Linked DNA regions of Alligator mississippiensis. The protein of the gene in region 1 interacts with the protein of each later gene in a pairwise test. Links are inferred from orthologs where the notes say so. Each region holds a gene or a part of one and is shown in the gene's direction. Other genes may lie near its edges.

Evidence for each region.
Region 2: the proteins of UBAC1 (region 1) and CPSF6 interact in a two-hybrid assay, tested with the Homo sapiens proteins (2 studies listed by BioGRID and IntAct). The link is inferred for Alligator mississippiensis from reciprocal best matches to the Homo sapiens genes UBAC1 and CPSF6.

The regions. Positions count from the first base shown.
Region 1 is NC_081835.1:63,767,376-63,775,226, forward strand, and holds the start of UBAC1 (ubiquitin-associated domain-containing protein 1), read left to right. Parts: upstream 1-4,833; 5' UTR 4,834-4,961; coding exon 4,962-5,099; intron 5,100-7,851.
Region 2 is NC_081827.1:69,658,190-69,665,744, forward strand, and holds the start of CPSF6 (cleavage and polyadenylation specificity factor subunit 6), read left to right. Parts: upstream 1-4,540; 5' UTR 4,541-4,635; coding exon 4,636-4,695; intron 4,696-7,555. UniProt on the Homo sapiens protein: Component of the cleavage factor Im (CFIm) complex that functions as an activator of the pre-mRNA 3'-end cleavage and polyadenylation processing required for the maturation of pre-mRNA into functional mRNAs.

The DNA.
Region 1 (7,851 bases):
AAAGTTCCCTCGCCCTGCAATGATTTCTGTTGATAAAACAGCTGGATGGTTGTGTGAAACTCCACCAAATCGTGGACTCAGACAAAGCTCCCAGCTCAATTTAGGCCCGTGCAGAAACCTGAGTGCTGCCTTATTGCTTTTAAATATCTCTGAATGTAATCCGCTGTTTGATCCCTTCTTAGGGGAGAGAAAGGGCTAGGATTTCAGCGAGTTGCGCTGCTGATTCAGACACAAGGTTTCCAGGTCTCCCAGGACTGTGCAACTAGTAGAAGTCCCATTGAACAAATAATAATGATGATAATAATAAAAGTGTGAGAAGTGGTTCCTATAGGGGTTCGATTGATTCTGTGCCTGGCAGCCACCCTGGGTCTTGCAAACATCAGTCCACAGCAGTAGGACATAATTAACAGCTAAAAATGTAAAGAATATGATGGGAACCAAGTGACTAACGTGACTAATGGATATGGGTTGTAGCCGTGTTGGTCTAAGGACATCGGTAGACAAGGTTCATGGGGTAAATGTAATAGCTTTTATTAGACCAGCTCAAATAGTTGGAAAAAATCTTTGCAAGCTTTCAGGTATAAATACCCTTCGTCGGGCTCAGGAAGCCTCTGCAGATAGTTTGAGCACAGACCAACTGCAGACGCTTCCTCAGTCTGGCGAAGGGTATTTATACCTGAAAACTTGCAAAAAAAAAAAATTTCCAACTATTTGAGCTGGCCTAATAAAAGTGAATGTGACTAATGGACCTCCTACTGAAGTTTAGGAGAAGTCTGGCCTTCAGTGGGTGTCCGATCAGCCCCCAAGGTGCGGACAGGCTCAGAGAAAAGCCAGTGTTTCAGCACCACGGAGAGGGGCAGGGAGAGGTGAAGTCCAAACTCCCTCCTCCTGCCCCTCACTTCTACCACGAAAACAGAGACGGGTCCTTTCTGCCAAGAGCCGCCCGCCCAGGCCAAGGTGCCGGGCAATGCCCCAAGAAAAGCTACAAAGTTCTGTTGTTTTTTGCACCCGCTATTTTACCGAGCAGCAGTGACAATCGCTGCCGGGGAAGGTTTAATGGCATTGTCGCCATGGGGCATTGCAAGTGAAAGGTGCTTTTAAAAAGCAAGGCTTAATATTGCAAGGTCGGCTTTTCACCCCGTTTTGATCTTGTGTTCATAACAGCGGGAATCCCAATGTATGCATGGAGAGGGAACACCGCATAGCACGCTCAAATAGCCTGATGGTTGATGGCGTATAGCACTGGTCATTCATAAGGAAAGGGGACCTGTTGTGAGCTGCAAGGCTCTGGCAGCCCTTCCCTAGAGCTGATGGGAGCTGGCAAGTTTTCAGCTAAGGGGAAGTTTGCTCCCTCTTGTGGTCTGTCGGCCTTCAGGACAGAGTCCAAAATGCATCTGTTTTCTTTGGCTTGGAGACTTGTGCTAATGGTGCAATTGGGATTTATTGTCCAGAGTAAGGAATGCTTGATTTTCTGCACCAAGAGAGACTTTTTTTTTAATGCCTATGGATGCGCCCAGATATTTTTGTCATGCAGGCAAATATACAGTATTCTCTAAATAGTATCCAGTGGGATTTGACTCTGGGAAGCAATGGGGCATCTCCCTTCTTTTCAGAATAAAAATGGGTAAGTGCTAGAGAGCTGTGGAAGGAGGAGTACTTTCTATCATGTAAAGACGGAGATGTGAAATCTCCACCTTGCAAAGATCCGGCCTGGTCTGCTGGTGGGTAAACTAGCAGGCAGGGTATATATGTTACCAGTAGCTTTTCTTGGCACATGTTGCTTTTTTAGAAAGGGTGGGAGTTTTTCCTGTACTTGAAAACCTCAGAATGAAGGCTGCTCTCTAAAACCACCTTCCATTTTGGTAGGTATAAGCGGAGGCAAATGCATCAGCATTAGCAGGAAGTGGCTTGTAGGACGTCATTTGCATTTCATGGAGTCAAATGATCACTGTGCGCTGTGACCACCAAAGCCAAATCCCATTCTTAGTCAGGTGCAGCTGTAGCTCCATGGAGATGTAAAATTTCCCGGCCCATGTTGCATGTAACAGGTCCAGGGAAGAGTGCCTCGTTTTCATAGGGAAGGGTTGAGCGCTAGAATCTCTTTTTCCTGAGATCGACCCTATGTTAATTAGAAATATGTATTTGTGTTACACTAACATGTAGAGGCCCACCTAAAATCAGGGCCCTGTGGCTCTGTGATGAAGTGATGTGTAATTACAGAATGAGAGACAGAGTCTACATAAACAAGACGGAGAAAGGGTGGAAGAAAGTGAGTGAAGCGAGCCCCGGGTGCAGTGGAGGATTGAGACACAGGGAGGGTAAAACATGTCTCAATGCAGGCAGGCAGCAAGGTAAGAAACGGTGTTTCATCTCCTGGTTACAATGGGGACTTAGAGCCAGGAAACCTTGGTTCTCTTGTATGAGTTTGAGAAATCACCTCAATAGAAAGATCAAAAGCCAGTTTTGGGTTTCGCTGCCCATGTGAAGACACCTAGATCTAAATACTATGTTTTGTTTTAATTCTGGGTTTGGCAAATGTAGTGTTTGTGGAATATCTGTCCGTCTGGCACGACACTGTTTTTGCAGATGCAAGGGAAACAAAGAGATGGTCTGAACTGAATCTGGTTTTTTTTCCCCCCCCAAAAATATTACTACCAAATTCCAGAAACATGAAAAATTAACTTTTTTTTTTTTCATTTGTAACGGCATAATCAGCACAAACCAACTGGAAGAGCAAAATGAATGACCTTACAATGGAGTGAAAGAAAAACAAGAGAAGAGGATGAAAGGATAAGAATATGCCTCCCCTGCTCTAATAAATCAATCGCAGTATTAATATATTTTATATTTCCAGTAATTCTTCATCTTTTCTGTCCTCAATACAGTTTCTTGTCTCCCCCTACTGGCTAAATTGAGCTGCTCTTATCAAGTCCCACAGCTTCAAAAAGAGCCATTCAATAAAAGCAGGTTCCCAAATGTTCTTTACAGACCAGTAGCCAACTTATCTTGGTTTTATTGTTTAATAGTCACACGTGGACTGCGGAAATAGGAGAACACAAAAGTCAGAGCCTTTTCTGCATCGAGTCTCAAAGCTTCCGTTTTCAGTCATTTGCGGACGTCCGGGAACGGTGCCTCACGTCTAACAACGGCTACGTTCAAGAGACAATATTTGACTTTTGTTGGTGTCAGACTAGTCCTCTCTCTATTTCTTCCATTACAAAATAAGGTGGTTCTCACTGTCTTTTGTCTTCCTGCGTTCAGCTGAAGCCAATTATTCTAGGATAACCTATTTTCATGTTACAGCTGGTCTGACTTGTGGTTCTGCATTTTCATTTAAAGCATGTATATTCCAACATCATTCCGCTTATTTTAATGTATTTTAACATATTTTCTTCACTTTTGGAGGGAAAACAAACATTTTTCACCGTGAATCCAAAATTCCCCAGCCAGTGTTTCACTACCTGAAGGCCCGTAAGCCCATTTCCTGATGTGATTCACAAGTGGTGCTGGTAGCAGTGGTGTAGAGGGTATTTTGGGGTCTGGTTTTTGGAGGGGGGGTTGATTTGGGGGTCTAACTCCAGAGCGGGGTTGATTTTAGGATGCTCCTAACTCAGGGGGTCCATGGTTGTGACCTGCGTTCCCCAACATCAACCCTGCAATGCACAAATCTACAACTCTTGGTTCGGAGATGAGACTTTTTATTGGACCAGATGAGAAATTGCAAAACATTTATATATATAGTTAATTTTGGAGGGGCCGCCATAAGCCTTAGCCCCTAAGGTAGATTTCTGAAAGTCGGTGAAGGTGGACGGGTGTGGGGTGAAGGGACCGAAACCCAAACTGGACGTATTGCAGGATGTCACATTGATGAAATGTCGCTGGATGTTGTCCACAAAAGAATCGGGGGTGAAAAAGTGAGACGAGACTCTCCCACACTGTACGCCAGTGATTCTCAACCAGGGTCCTAGGGTGCCACCAGATCCTTTGAAGGGTGCCCCTTCCCACAATGCATCTGAAGCCACCCTGCCTGCAGGGTCTGCATCTCCCAGCATGCACCTGGTGGGTTCCATAGCCTGACAGGGACTACGGCTCCCATGGTGCACTGGGGCAAGGTGGATGTAGGGGTGGAGAGGGAGAGCTTCTAGCACACATGGGGGAAGGAGAAGGGGCAGGCTGCCATCCTTGGGAGGGGAGCTGGCAGGACCCCGCTGTAGGCCCAGGGAGGGGGGAGGACTGCAATTCCCACAGTGCACTGGGAACCATCCATCCTCCTCCCCACTCTGTGCCCGGGGCCTTCAAGAGGATGGACTCTAACTCCCACAATGCACCGCAGGGCTCCCAGCCTCCATGTTTTGGGGGAACTATGATTCCCACAATGCACCGCAGCGGCTCCCAACCTCCATATTCGGGGAGACTATAATTCCCACAATGCGCCACAGCGGCTCCCTACCTCCACATTGGGGGGGGGGGAACTATGATTCCCACAATGCACCGCAGAGCCTCCCATATTTCAAGTTGGGGGAAAACTATAATTCCCACAATGCATCGCAATGACCCCAGCCTCCATGTTGGAGGGAACTATAATTCCCACAATGCACCGCAGCGCCCCCCCGCCGCCATATTGGGGGACTATAATTCCCATAATGCACCGCAGCGCTTCCCAGTCTCCATGTCGGGGGGACTACAACTCCCACATGCACTGGGCACTTCAGCGGCGGCGGCAGCCTAACTCCCGGCAGCCCGTGCGCGGCCACTTCCGGCCGCGAGCGAGGCGGCTGAGGGGGAGACTACGGCTCCCAGCATGCAGCGCGGCCGCGACTTCCGGCGCTGGGCTGGTCCCCTCAGCAGGGGCCGCGGCCGTGACAGGAGCCGTGCGGGGCGGCGGGGCCGGGGCCGGGGCCCCTCAGCGCGGCGGGGGCGCCGCCATGCCGCTGGGCCGGTGAGGAGAGCAGCGGGCGGCGATGTTCGTGCAGGAGGAGAAGATCTTCGCCGGCAAGGTGCTGCGGCTCCACGTCTGCAGCGCGGAGGGCGCGGAGTGGCTGGAGGAGGTCTCGGAGGACACCACGGTGGAGAAGCTCAAGGAGCGCTGCCTCAAGCACGTAAGGGACCGGCACCCCTCCCCCCGCCCCCCGGCGTGCACCTGGGTGGGGGGGGGCGTGATTTGAGGATCTGATTATGGAGCGGGGTCGAGTTTGGGGTCTGGTTTTGGAGGGGGTTGATTTTTCGAGGGGGGTCTGATTTTGGGGTTTGACTTTGGAGGGGGTTGATTTTTGGAGGGGGGGTCTGATTTTGGAGGGGGTTGATTTTTGGAGGGGGGGGTCTGATTTGGGGGCTTGGTTTTGGAGGGGGGGTCTGATTTTGAGGCCTGGTTTTTGGAGGGGGGTTGATTTTGGGGGGGGGGTCTGATTTTGGAGTCCAATTTTTGGGGTCTGGTTTTGGAGGGGGGTTGATTTTAGGGTCTGATTTTTGGAGGCGGTTGACTTTTTTCAAGGGGGGTTGATTTTGGGTTCTGTTTTTTGGAGGGGGGGCTCTGATTTTTGGAGGGGGGTTGACTTTTGGGGTCTGACTGGCGTGGGGTTCATTTTGGAGTGGTGGGCTGATTTTGGAGTGGGTGATTTTTGGGGTCTGGTTTTGGAGGGGGGTTGATTTTCGAGGCAGTTCTGATTTTTCTTGGGTCTGGTTTTGGAGGGGGGTTGATTTTGGGGGTCTGGTTTTGGGGTCGGGGGGGGGGGGGGGATTCCTTCCTGACCCCAAATACAGCATCAGTGGGACCCTGAGCGGCCGGCCTGTCCAACCCCTGTGCAGACCGTCCCGTGCAACCATCTCAACTGTGCGTAAGACAAGCTTGATGCAACACAGCCCTAACGCCGGAGGCAGGATCCTGCATCTCGGCTGCTGGCAGAGCGCTGGCACAGCCCAGTGGAAGCGCCCGGCCGCAGCTGTAGGCAGCCCCCGATGCCTTTGGGGGGGCTTAAAAATACTTTTGTGCGCAGAGCTGGAAAAAAGGGGGGTTGCCTTGTGATTGTGTCAGCTGCTGCGGTGCCGTGCTCAGCGCAGCCGTCTCTGCTTGCAGCCGGGGGAAAGCGGGGCTGGTCCAGGCCGTCGCTGCGGCGTGCAGTCGGTATTCAAACGTGCGCCGTGCCTCTAGTCAGTTGTTTCTTTTGCCACAGCCGCGTCTGTAATGTTCCCCCCCAAACTCGGGGAGCCTTGGAGACCAGCACTCACGGCCTTCAAGTGCTGAGGAGGAGCAGGGTTAGGAAGGGAGTCGTTTTGGGACTCTTGAGGTCGGGATTCGGGTGGCTTGTGTTGGGTATGCCTATCTTTTATTCGTGGGGCGGGGGGGGCAGGGACTGGCAGCTCCATGCTGGGAGAAGATGGTAAACTGGTTTCAGATGACTCCCTGAAGTAACTGCAGTATCCATGCATTTCCTTGCTCTGTTTTAAGCGCAGACAGATGTGTAAAGGGGAACTGTAGTGGGGAACATCCATGCAATAGAAATCCTTCCACCTCCACAATTAGTGTAATTACACTATGGATTATGGTGTAAACCAATGCTTTTGCAATGTGTTAAAGCTTGAAGGCTGTGATTTTCAATTATGATATCCCTGCATATATTAGTCAAGTGCTTAAAGCTGATTTTCTTTTGTATGAGTGTGTTTAAACCCTTACACACAGGAATGAATATAACCTTGGTAAAGCAAATGTCACAACAGTGCTCCCAAATCGGTGCAGTAATAGTGTAGGTTGCCTTCGGGGACCAGTGGATGGATTATCCTGATGGCCTCTTGCCCTCTATCCCTTAACACATTTGCAGTTATTCCAATGATTCTTTTAGATAACTGATCGCACAGAAATGAGAAGTTTAAAGGTCTCATTGCAGAAATTTGGCTTGAATACAAAAAGCTCCTTCATTCTGGTTGGCCCAGTTACCGTGTACATGGTCATAAAGTTAATAATCTGCTTATCCAGGGCTCTACTGGATTGAAATCCTAAAGCTGTAAGGACTGTTCAGACACAAGTCTGAAATAGTGTGTTGAATCTCGGTGTATGATCAGGATTTGCCCCAGAAGATGTCATTTCTGAGCCAAGGCAGCATGGCCGAACAGTCTCAGCAGCAGATTGCTGAATTCTAATCCCAGGTTTGGTGAGGACTGGCTGTAGCGACTTGGACAAGTTATTTAACCTCTCTTTAAATGATTTCAAGAGTGTGAAGGATGCCCTTTGCAGTAGTTTGCACCATCCACGTGTTTCAGAGGTGATGTTTCTTCTAGCAATGATGTAGTTTTAATACACGAACAAGAAGTTAAAACCAGAAGTGTATGATTACATTTCACATCCCATAACATAAAATGTTATCACAAACTAACTCATTTTATCTTGTAGGCATACAGTGATTGTATTTGAGCAAGGCTGATCAATAAGCTAAATGCATCCATAGCAATCATACAATGTGACGCACAGCTGCTTATTTTTACACAGCCCCTTGGAAATTACAGGTCTCAGCCTTCAGTATTGCATCTTAATCCAGAAGGTCATCTGTTTAGCTCATAGCATGCTAGGGCCTGTAGTCTCCACAGCCACTCCCATGTTTAAAGAAGGCAAGCAGCAGCATTTGGTTTGGCTTTGTCCAAGGTAAATGTTGTCTTCGGGCAAAATTGGGCTGTTTCTGTTTGGCAAAATAGGTATGGGATCATCGCATGCTGCAGAGCTTCTGGAGCATGGTATTGCTGTCCTTATTCAGCCCCCCTGAATGGTGAAGGACTATCAAAGTACAATCTTTTAAAGCCTTTAGTTTTCAGGAGGCTTAATTGAATAGAAGTTTGTACACAATAGGAGTCAGGCCAGAGGAC
Region 2 (7,555 bases), on another chromosome or scaffold:
CATATAATGGCAAAACTTTCACCTTTTTCCCAATATGGATATCTAACACTTTTATATGAGAGATCTTCTCTGAAGTGCTGTTGTTTTATTCAAACATGGCTTATGCAGAGCTCAATCTGTATTTTTTATCTGTGGTGAGAAATAACACTGTTAGTCTCAAAATTTACTCATTTACTCAACAGTCCAGTTAATATCTCAGTGTCTATCTCTCAGCAAAGCCTTAGAATCATAGAAAGTTAGGGTTGGAAGGGACCTCAGGAGGTCATCTAGTCTAGTCCAACCCCCTCCTTAACGCAGGACCATCCCCAGCTAGATCAATCCAGGCAGAACTTTGTCAAGCCAGCCTTAAAAACCTCCAAGGATAGAGATTCCACAACCTCTCTAGGTAACCCATTCCAGTGCTTCACCATCCTCCTAGTGAGAAAGTTTTCCTAATCTCAAACCTAAACCTCCTTTGCTGCAACTTGAGATTGTTGCTCCTTGTTCTCTCATCTGTCATCACTGAGAACAGTCCAGTTCCATTCTCTTCCGAACCCCACTTCACACAGTTAAAGGCTGCTATCAAATCCCCTCCTCTGTCTTCTCTTCTGCAGACTAAATAAGCCGAGTTCCCTCAGTCTCTCCTCATAAGTCATGTACCCCAGCCCTCTAACCATTTTTGTCCCTCTCTGCTGACCTCTCTCCAACTTGTCCACACCCTTTCTATAGTAGGGGGCCAAAAACTGGACACAGTACTCCAGATGTGGCCTCACCAGTGCAGAATGGAGTGGAATATTATAGAAGAATACCTTCTCTCTATCTGCCGGCAATGGTCCCACTAATGCAGCCCAGTATGCTGTTAGCCTTCTTGGCAACAAGGGCACACTGCTGACTTATATCCATCTTCTTGTCCACTGTAACTCCCAGGTCTTTTTCTCAGAGCTGCTGCTTATCCAGTTGGTTCCAAGCCTGTAGCAGTACATGGGATTCTTCTGTCCTAAGTGCACAACGTTGCACTTGTCTTTGCTGAACCTCATGAGAATTTTTTTGGCCCTATCCTCCAATTTGTCTAGGTCACTCTGAATCCTAGCCGTACCCTCTAGTGTATCTACTACTCCCCACAGCTTGGTGTCATCTGCAAACTTGCTGAGGGTGCAATCCATCCCATCTTCCAGATCATTAATGAAGACATTAAACAAAACTGGCCCCAGGACCAACCACTGGGGCACTGCACTTGATACTGGCTTCCAGATAGACATCGAGCCATTGATTACTACCTGTTGAGTCCAACAATCCAGGCAGCTTTCTATCCACTTTACAGTCCATTCATCCAACCCATACTTCCTCAGTTGCTTAAAATAATGCTGTCTGTGGGAGACTGTATCAAAAGCCATACTAAAGTCAAGGTATATTTTGTCTACTGCTTTCCCTGCATCAACAGAGCCATAGATCATCATAGAAGGCAATCAGGTTGGTCAGGCATAAATTGCCCTTGGTGAATCCATGCTGACTGTTCCTAATCAACTTCTTCTCCAATTGCTTAGGAAGGGATTCTTTGAGCAGGGACAGCCCACAATTTTTGGGAGCCCCCTGCAAGAAATAGTTTTGGGGCCCCCTGTGGCGGCTGGGGGGGGGGGAGGGGGGGCGATGAGCAGCCAAAGAAGCCAGTGGTGGCGGGGGGTGGTGAATGGCCAGACATGAAGCCGGTGGTGGCAGTGTCATTGGTGGCAGGAGGGAGGGGTGGCAAGCAGCTGGACTCAGGAGGGCCCTTAGCTGTGGGGTCCCCTGTGGCCGCAGGTTTTGCAGCATAGGACGGACCAGTCCTGTCTTTGAGGATCTGCTCCATGATTTTTCCAGGGACTGAGGTGAGCCTGACTGGTCTGTAGTTCCCTGGATCCTCCTTCTTCTCTTTCTTAAAGATGGGTGTGAGAAAGTAAAAGAAAAGAGGGCCTGAGTTACTGCAGGGGGGGAGGGAAATAGTCACTGCAGGTGTGGGAGTGGCCCTGACCAGAGCAAGACTGATGCAGATGTGCTTCCATAGTTCCTGCTCCCTCTGGATTGGTGGAGGGAGCCTGAGGAAGAATATTTCCAGTCCCAGAGAGGGGCAGCTGGGAGAGGACACTGATGGATTAGGCAAGGGGATGCTGGAGACCTACCCAGCTCACAGAGTCCTAAAGCCATCTGTGCCCAAGAGCAGAACATGAGGGAATGGTGAGGAGCTGGTGAGCAGAGGGCTGTGGCAGTGAGGACCACAGCAAGGAGCCAGCAAAGACAGAGAGACTAGGGAAAGTCATCACTGGATGAGCCCGGAAGCTGTTGAAGGTACAGCCTCCCCACCCTTTTTTTTTCCCTGTTGGTTGTTTTTTTGTTGTTTCATCTCCTCACTGCACTGGGGTACAGGGAGAAAGAGAAGAGCCCCTACCCTGCAGAAACCTTGGTTGTCCCACCCCAGGAAAGCCAAGCCAGAGGGGAGGTAGTTTGATTAAGAGCCATGGTACCAGTAAGAAAACCAGGCATGGAGGACAGGTGTTAATTTAAGACTGATCAAGTTAAAGGTTCCTGGCAAACCAATTTTCATTGTCTGTCTTGTGTATGTGCAGGGAATTTAATTTGATTGTCTCGTGAGCCTTAAATTACTTGACTGGGAGTGATTGTCCCATGAATTGGAGGAAAATTGATTTAAGTTATTTGCTTGATGGACTATTCAATGAATTGATATAGTGAAGTTGATCCTTGGTCTCTTGGGAACTGACTAAAGTTGGAGGCCTTGTGGTGCCTGAATCAAGTGATTTGAGTATACAAACACAACCATTTATTAAGCCAATGAATAGCTGCCGGAGGTACAGCTGTTCCACGCAGGATCCAGACCATGACGTTTGCCATCTGATGTGGGATAGCAAGGACGGGGTGTAAGGGGAAGAGGAGTCCTGTGAAGAAAACCCTTGGAGGACTCAGTGGAATCTTGCCTTCATACTACATCCACCTTTTGATAAGAAGTTCCATCAAGATGTGGCAGGCAAGGATAGAACACCTGAGGTAGGTGGCAGTGATATTCCCAGGTCCCTTTCCAAATGGCACATGTGAGCCATATAGGGTTATCCCCCAACAATGGGCACTATATTTGCCCTTTTCCAATTATCTGGGACCACCCCCTCCCCCCTGTAATTGCCACAAGTTTTCAGAGATAATGGTCAGTGGCTCTGCAATCACTTCAGCCAACTCCCTCAGCATCCTCAGATGCATTGCATCCAGCCCTGTGGACTTGTACACGTCCAATATTAATAAATAGTCCCTAACCAGTTCTTTCACCACTGGGGGATGCTGACCTCCCCAAACGGTGCTGCCTGGTGTAGTAGTTTGGGAGCTGACCTTGGCTGTAAAGACCAAGGTAAATGTGAAGACCGAGATCACCTTATCTGACTTTTTTTTTTCTAAGTGAAATACCAAGTTTTTGGAACAGGTTGTAGATCTGATAGTTCTCTTAAATAGGAAATTTCAGTATTGTTTAGAATGGACTCAATTTATTTTAGCCATTACACTTAATTTCTGGGTTCTAGAAATGTTAACTCTGGGAACCAGGTAAGAGGGCTAAGCTTAACATTAGGTAACAATTCATACACTGGACAGCAACTCAAGAAATAAGGCATTACAGCTCTTCTTTGGAAGAAGATTTATTTAATGAATTTGACCGCAACATTTAACCTCATGATTTCTTGCTGCATATATGAAAAAAAATCAGCTAAAATTTGATATCTTCCATGTATCAGGTATCCAGATTTTTTTAAATTAAATCTTCATATTTTCCCAAGCAGCTAGCAACTGTGACCACCAGAAACCTGAGATCCTTTGTTTCAAGGTGATTTGCATCCTCATCACAGATCTCACAGGAGGCGAGAGGCTCCATACCAGCTATGAACCGACTGCCCAGAGGAGTTTTCCATCTATTGACTCCTCTGTGAAATCCTACGAAATACGAACTTTCATTTCTACCCAGGAGAACTTTTACAATCTTTTCTTTGATGCCTGATGAAGGGTGTTTGTGCCCGAAAGCTTGCAATTAAAGAAATTTTTTTGCAAAAATCTTGCTGGTCTAATAAAAGATACCTACCTTCTCTACTCCGAGTCCTGATTGTTTTTTCTTCTAGAGCAATACCGCTACAACCTGGATACCTGATGCAAGTAGAAAAGAAACTCCATGTTGTGCAGGGCAGTTAGAGGCCAGCGGGGCTCCCCTGGGCTTCAACGCTTTTACTATTTAATATTAACAGCACAAGGATGGAATTAATCCCCACACACGCGACAACCCCCCCAGCCCTGGACAATACTTGGGCTGACGGACGAGGGGGCGGGGCGTGGAGAGCTCGGGAGGGGGCGGGGCCTGTCCGGATTGGAGACGGCGCTCTCAGGGTGACGTGCCCCCCGCGCGGTGGTGGGGGGCGGCGGTGCGCGCAGGCCTGCCCCGCCCCCGCCCTCCCACAAGCCCCCTCGGCCGAGGGCGGGCTCAGGCGGAGCAGCGGGGCAGCAGTGGTTACTTCAGCAGCCGGAAGCGGCCTGTCGCCTTCCGGAAGTGACGTCACGCCCCCCTCTCTCCCCGCGGAGGCGGCAGCGCTAGAGCCGGGCGCGGCTGGCGGCGGGGCCCGAGGTGCGGGCGGGATCATGGCGGACGGCGTGGACCACATAGACATTTACGCCGACGTGGGCGAGGAGTTCAACCAGGTGCGCGCGGCTCCCCTCCGCCTCTCCCCCTCGGGCCTCCCCAGCCCGGCCGAGGGGCTGCGTCGCCTGCCGGGCCCGCGGCGGGGAGGCCCAGCTCGGCCCGGCCCGGCCCGGCCCGGCCGCCATTGTTCGCGGCCGCTGCTTTCCCGCGGTGGGAGGCCGCCGGCGCAGGCCGCATGCGCAGCGAAGGCAGCGGGAGCCACCAGCAGCGGCCTGCCTGCTTCCTCTCCGCCTGGCCCTGGCCCTGCCCGTGCCGGGGTCTTGGTGGCGGCGGAGGAGGGAGGTGGGGAATGGCTCCACCTCCCGCGGCTCATCCGCGTCCGGGCCGGCGGGAAGGTGCGCGGTGCTCGGGGAGGCGGGAGCAGCACGGCTGCCTCCCGGCCGCCGCCCGCCGCCCGCTCAGGCAGACCAGTGGCCGCCCCGGCTAGAGGAGCCGCCTCCGGGGGATGGCAGAGGAGGCCTGAGGTGCTCAATTGCTGAGCTACTAAAAGGCCAGAGGCTCGAGGGGCAGGGATTGGCCTTGTGCTGGTCCACCCTGCACAAACACTGAAACAAAACAATCCCAGAAAGGCAGACCTGCCCCAGGTCTTCTCAGGAGTGGGGCAGCCCTGAGAGACTCCCCGCATCTCTTTTAAATAGCCCCGTGGTGCCTTTGGCCCCCTGGCGATGGGGATGCTGTTATTGCACTTTTCACTTGCACCTCAACTGACAGACACTTGGATTTTCTTTGAAATGTGTCAGTCTTTTCTCCCCCTCTGAAAACAAAGTGCAAACTGCCCTGCGCGTCCCTACTGAAATGCATGAGCGGGCCTCCCCCAACCCCACTAACAGCTGCAGTTACCTCAAGAAACATAGTGGTGGTTTCATGTGTGGTGGTGTCCCCCACTGCGTTGTTCCTTTCTGCAAAACAAGGGATCAAGTAAAGAATCTGCCCTCAGCAGATCGACCAGACTCACTGACCAGCTGATGTGTGGCAGTGGGTGTATAAGCAGAGGGAGGTTCATAGAGACTCAGGCGATAAGGAGGAGGGAGGTGACTGTGGGATTGTATTGGAGTGGTGGTTGGAGAAGAAATTGTGTCCCAAAATTTAAATCAATATCTAGAGGCTTGGGATATTTTTCAGAAAATAAGGTCATTTTTAAAATTTGATATTACGGAAGAGTAGCAAACTGTGAGGCAAGCAGGCAATAGAGAAGACTGGTTTGTTCATTTAAGACTTTTGGGTTGTTTAAATGGGAAGGATATACTGGTATAATGTGGAAGGGACACCCTGGGCCATAGAGTCAAGTTGCCTGCGTTTGTTATCCCGAGAAATCCCCATTGTCATCCTCAGCCCCTTACACTCTGCTACAAGGCATCATACCAACAATACCAAGAACGCTGTGTGATATGCTATAGGTAGAAGCAGGGACGACAATGACACTCTACCTGGGAGAAATGTTACAATCTTTGCCTTAAAGCTTGCAAATTAAAAAAAAAAATTGTAACTGTTTAGTTGGTCTAATAAAAAATACCACTTCTACCACACTGGCTGCTTGTACTTTTAGACCAACATGGCTACAACCTTTATCCCTGCTACTAAGTTAACCTGGAAGCAGTTGGTTAATATATACAGAAGATCCTAGGAGAAGGATCATGCCCATGCTGTTGAGAAAAGCAGTAACCCCAATGATCTCCTAATCTGGCCCAGACAAAAAGTTTTTGCTGGGTTTGAATTTTGTTACTGGTATGATCTTGAGTGGCAGTGCAGGACCTTCTAGCTGGGAAATTGTTTTCTCAGTGCCATCAAAAACATCAGCATGTCCTGGTTGAAACCCCCTTGCCTTACCTTACTGGAGATTGTGGATTTTAAGTGGTGCAAGCCCCAATGGGAATGGTTTTGTTCTTGTTTAGTTTAGTTTAGAATGGGTTCCCATTAAACCAAATTAAAGCCTCTCTTATGCTAAAAGAAGTATGTCCAAGAGCAATGTTGCACTATTTGACTAAACTAGTGTAATGTAAACTGGTGCAAATTTGTTTGTATTCAAGCCATTAAAGTAGGTAATTGATTGCTTGGAAAAATGGTGCAAATATTTGACGTTCTTGCTACTTGTATGGTTGCAGAAGAGACCTTGATTTTATCCAGTTTCTTGCAGTATATCTGTGTGATTCAGTTTTACAGAGGTGGTGGGTATATGTTGGGTGTTCTTTGCAATAAGTCTGCCAGTCAGAGCAATGGCATCAATGAATACATTCTGATTGTACTTCATTCAGGGCTCCTACTTAAGATGCACCTTTCCTGTATTGTTTGGTTTAGTCTCGCCTTGCATGTCTTCCTTTCTGCAGCAGATTTATTTTTGCTTGCAAATAGTAAATGCTATTTTCCATATAATTTTTCCTTTTAGTGATAACGTTTCAAAATATCTTCTGAAAAGTTTCTGATATCTTGTAAGTAAAATTTTAGGGGATAATTCCACTCAAAACAGTCATAAAACTTGGGAAGCTATTTCTGTTGTGAGCATGTGATCCCAGTAAAATGGCAAATGTCCAGGAAGCTTTTTGACTGGACTCTGCTTTTCTATGGTTAGTATATGTACTTTCTGCATAATTATTTAGTCTAGTTGCATTCTCGGTTTTTACTAATGTTATGATCTAATTTGGTACTGACAGCTATGGATTAATAGAGCTAAAAGAAATTCTAGTTAATCAAAATATTGTAAACCTCTTCTCTACATTTTTTGTGGTGACAGTGCATGGTTTGTTGTAATAGAAGATTCCAACAGACTAATTAGAAGCAGCATACAGGCTTGTGGGACATTACTTCTTATTTTTCTGTGCTTAAGAAATTCACCCAAGCTGTTTCAGCACAATTGCATTTGCT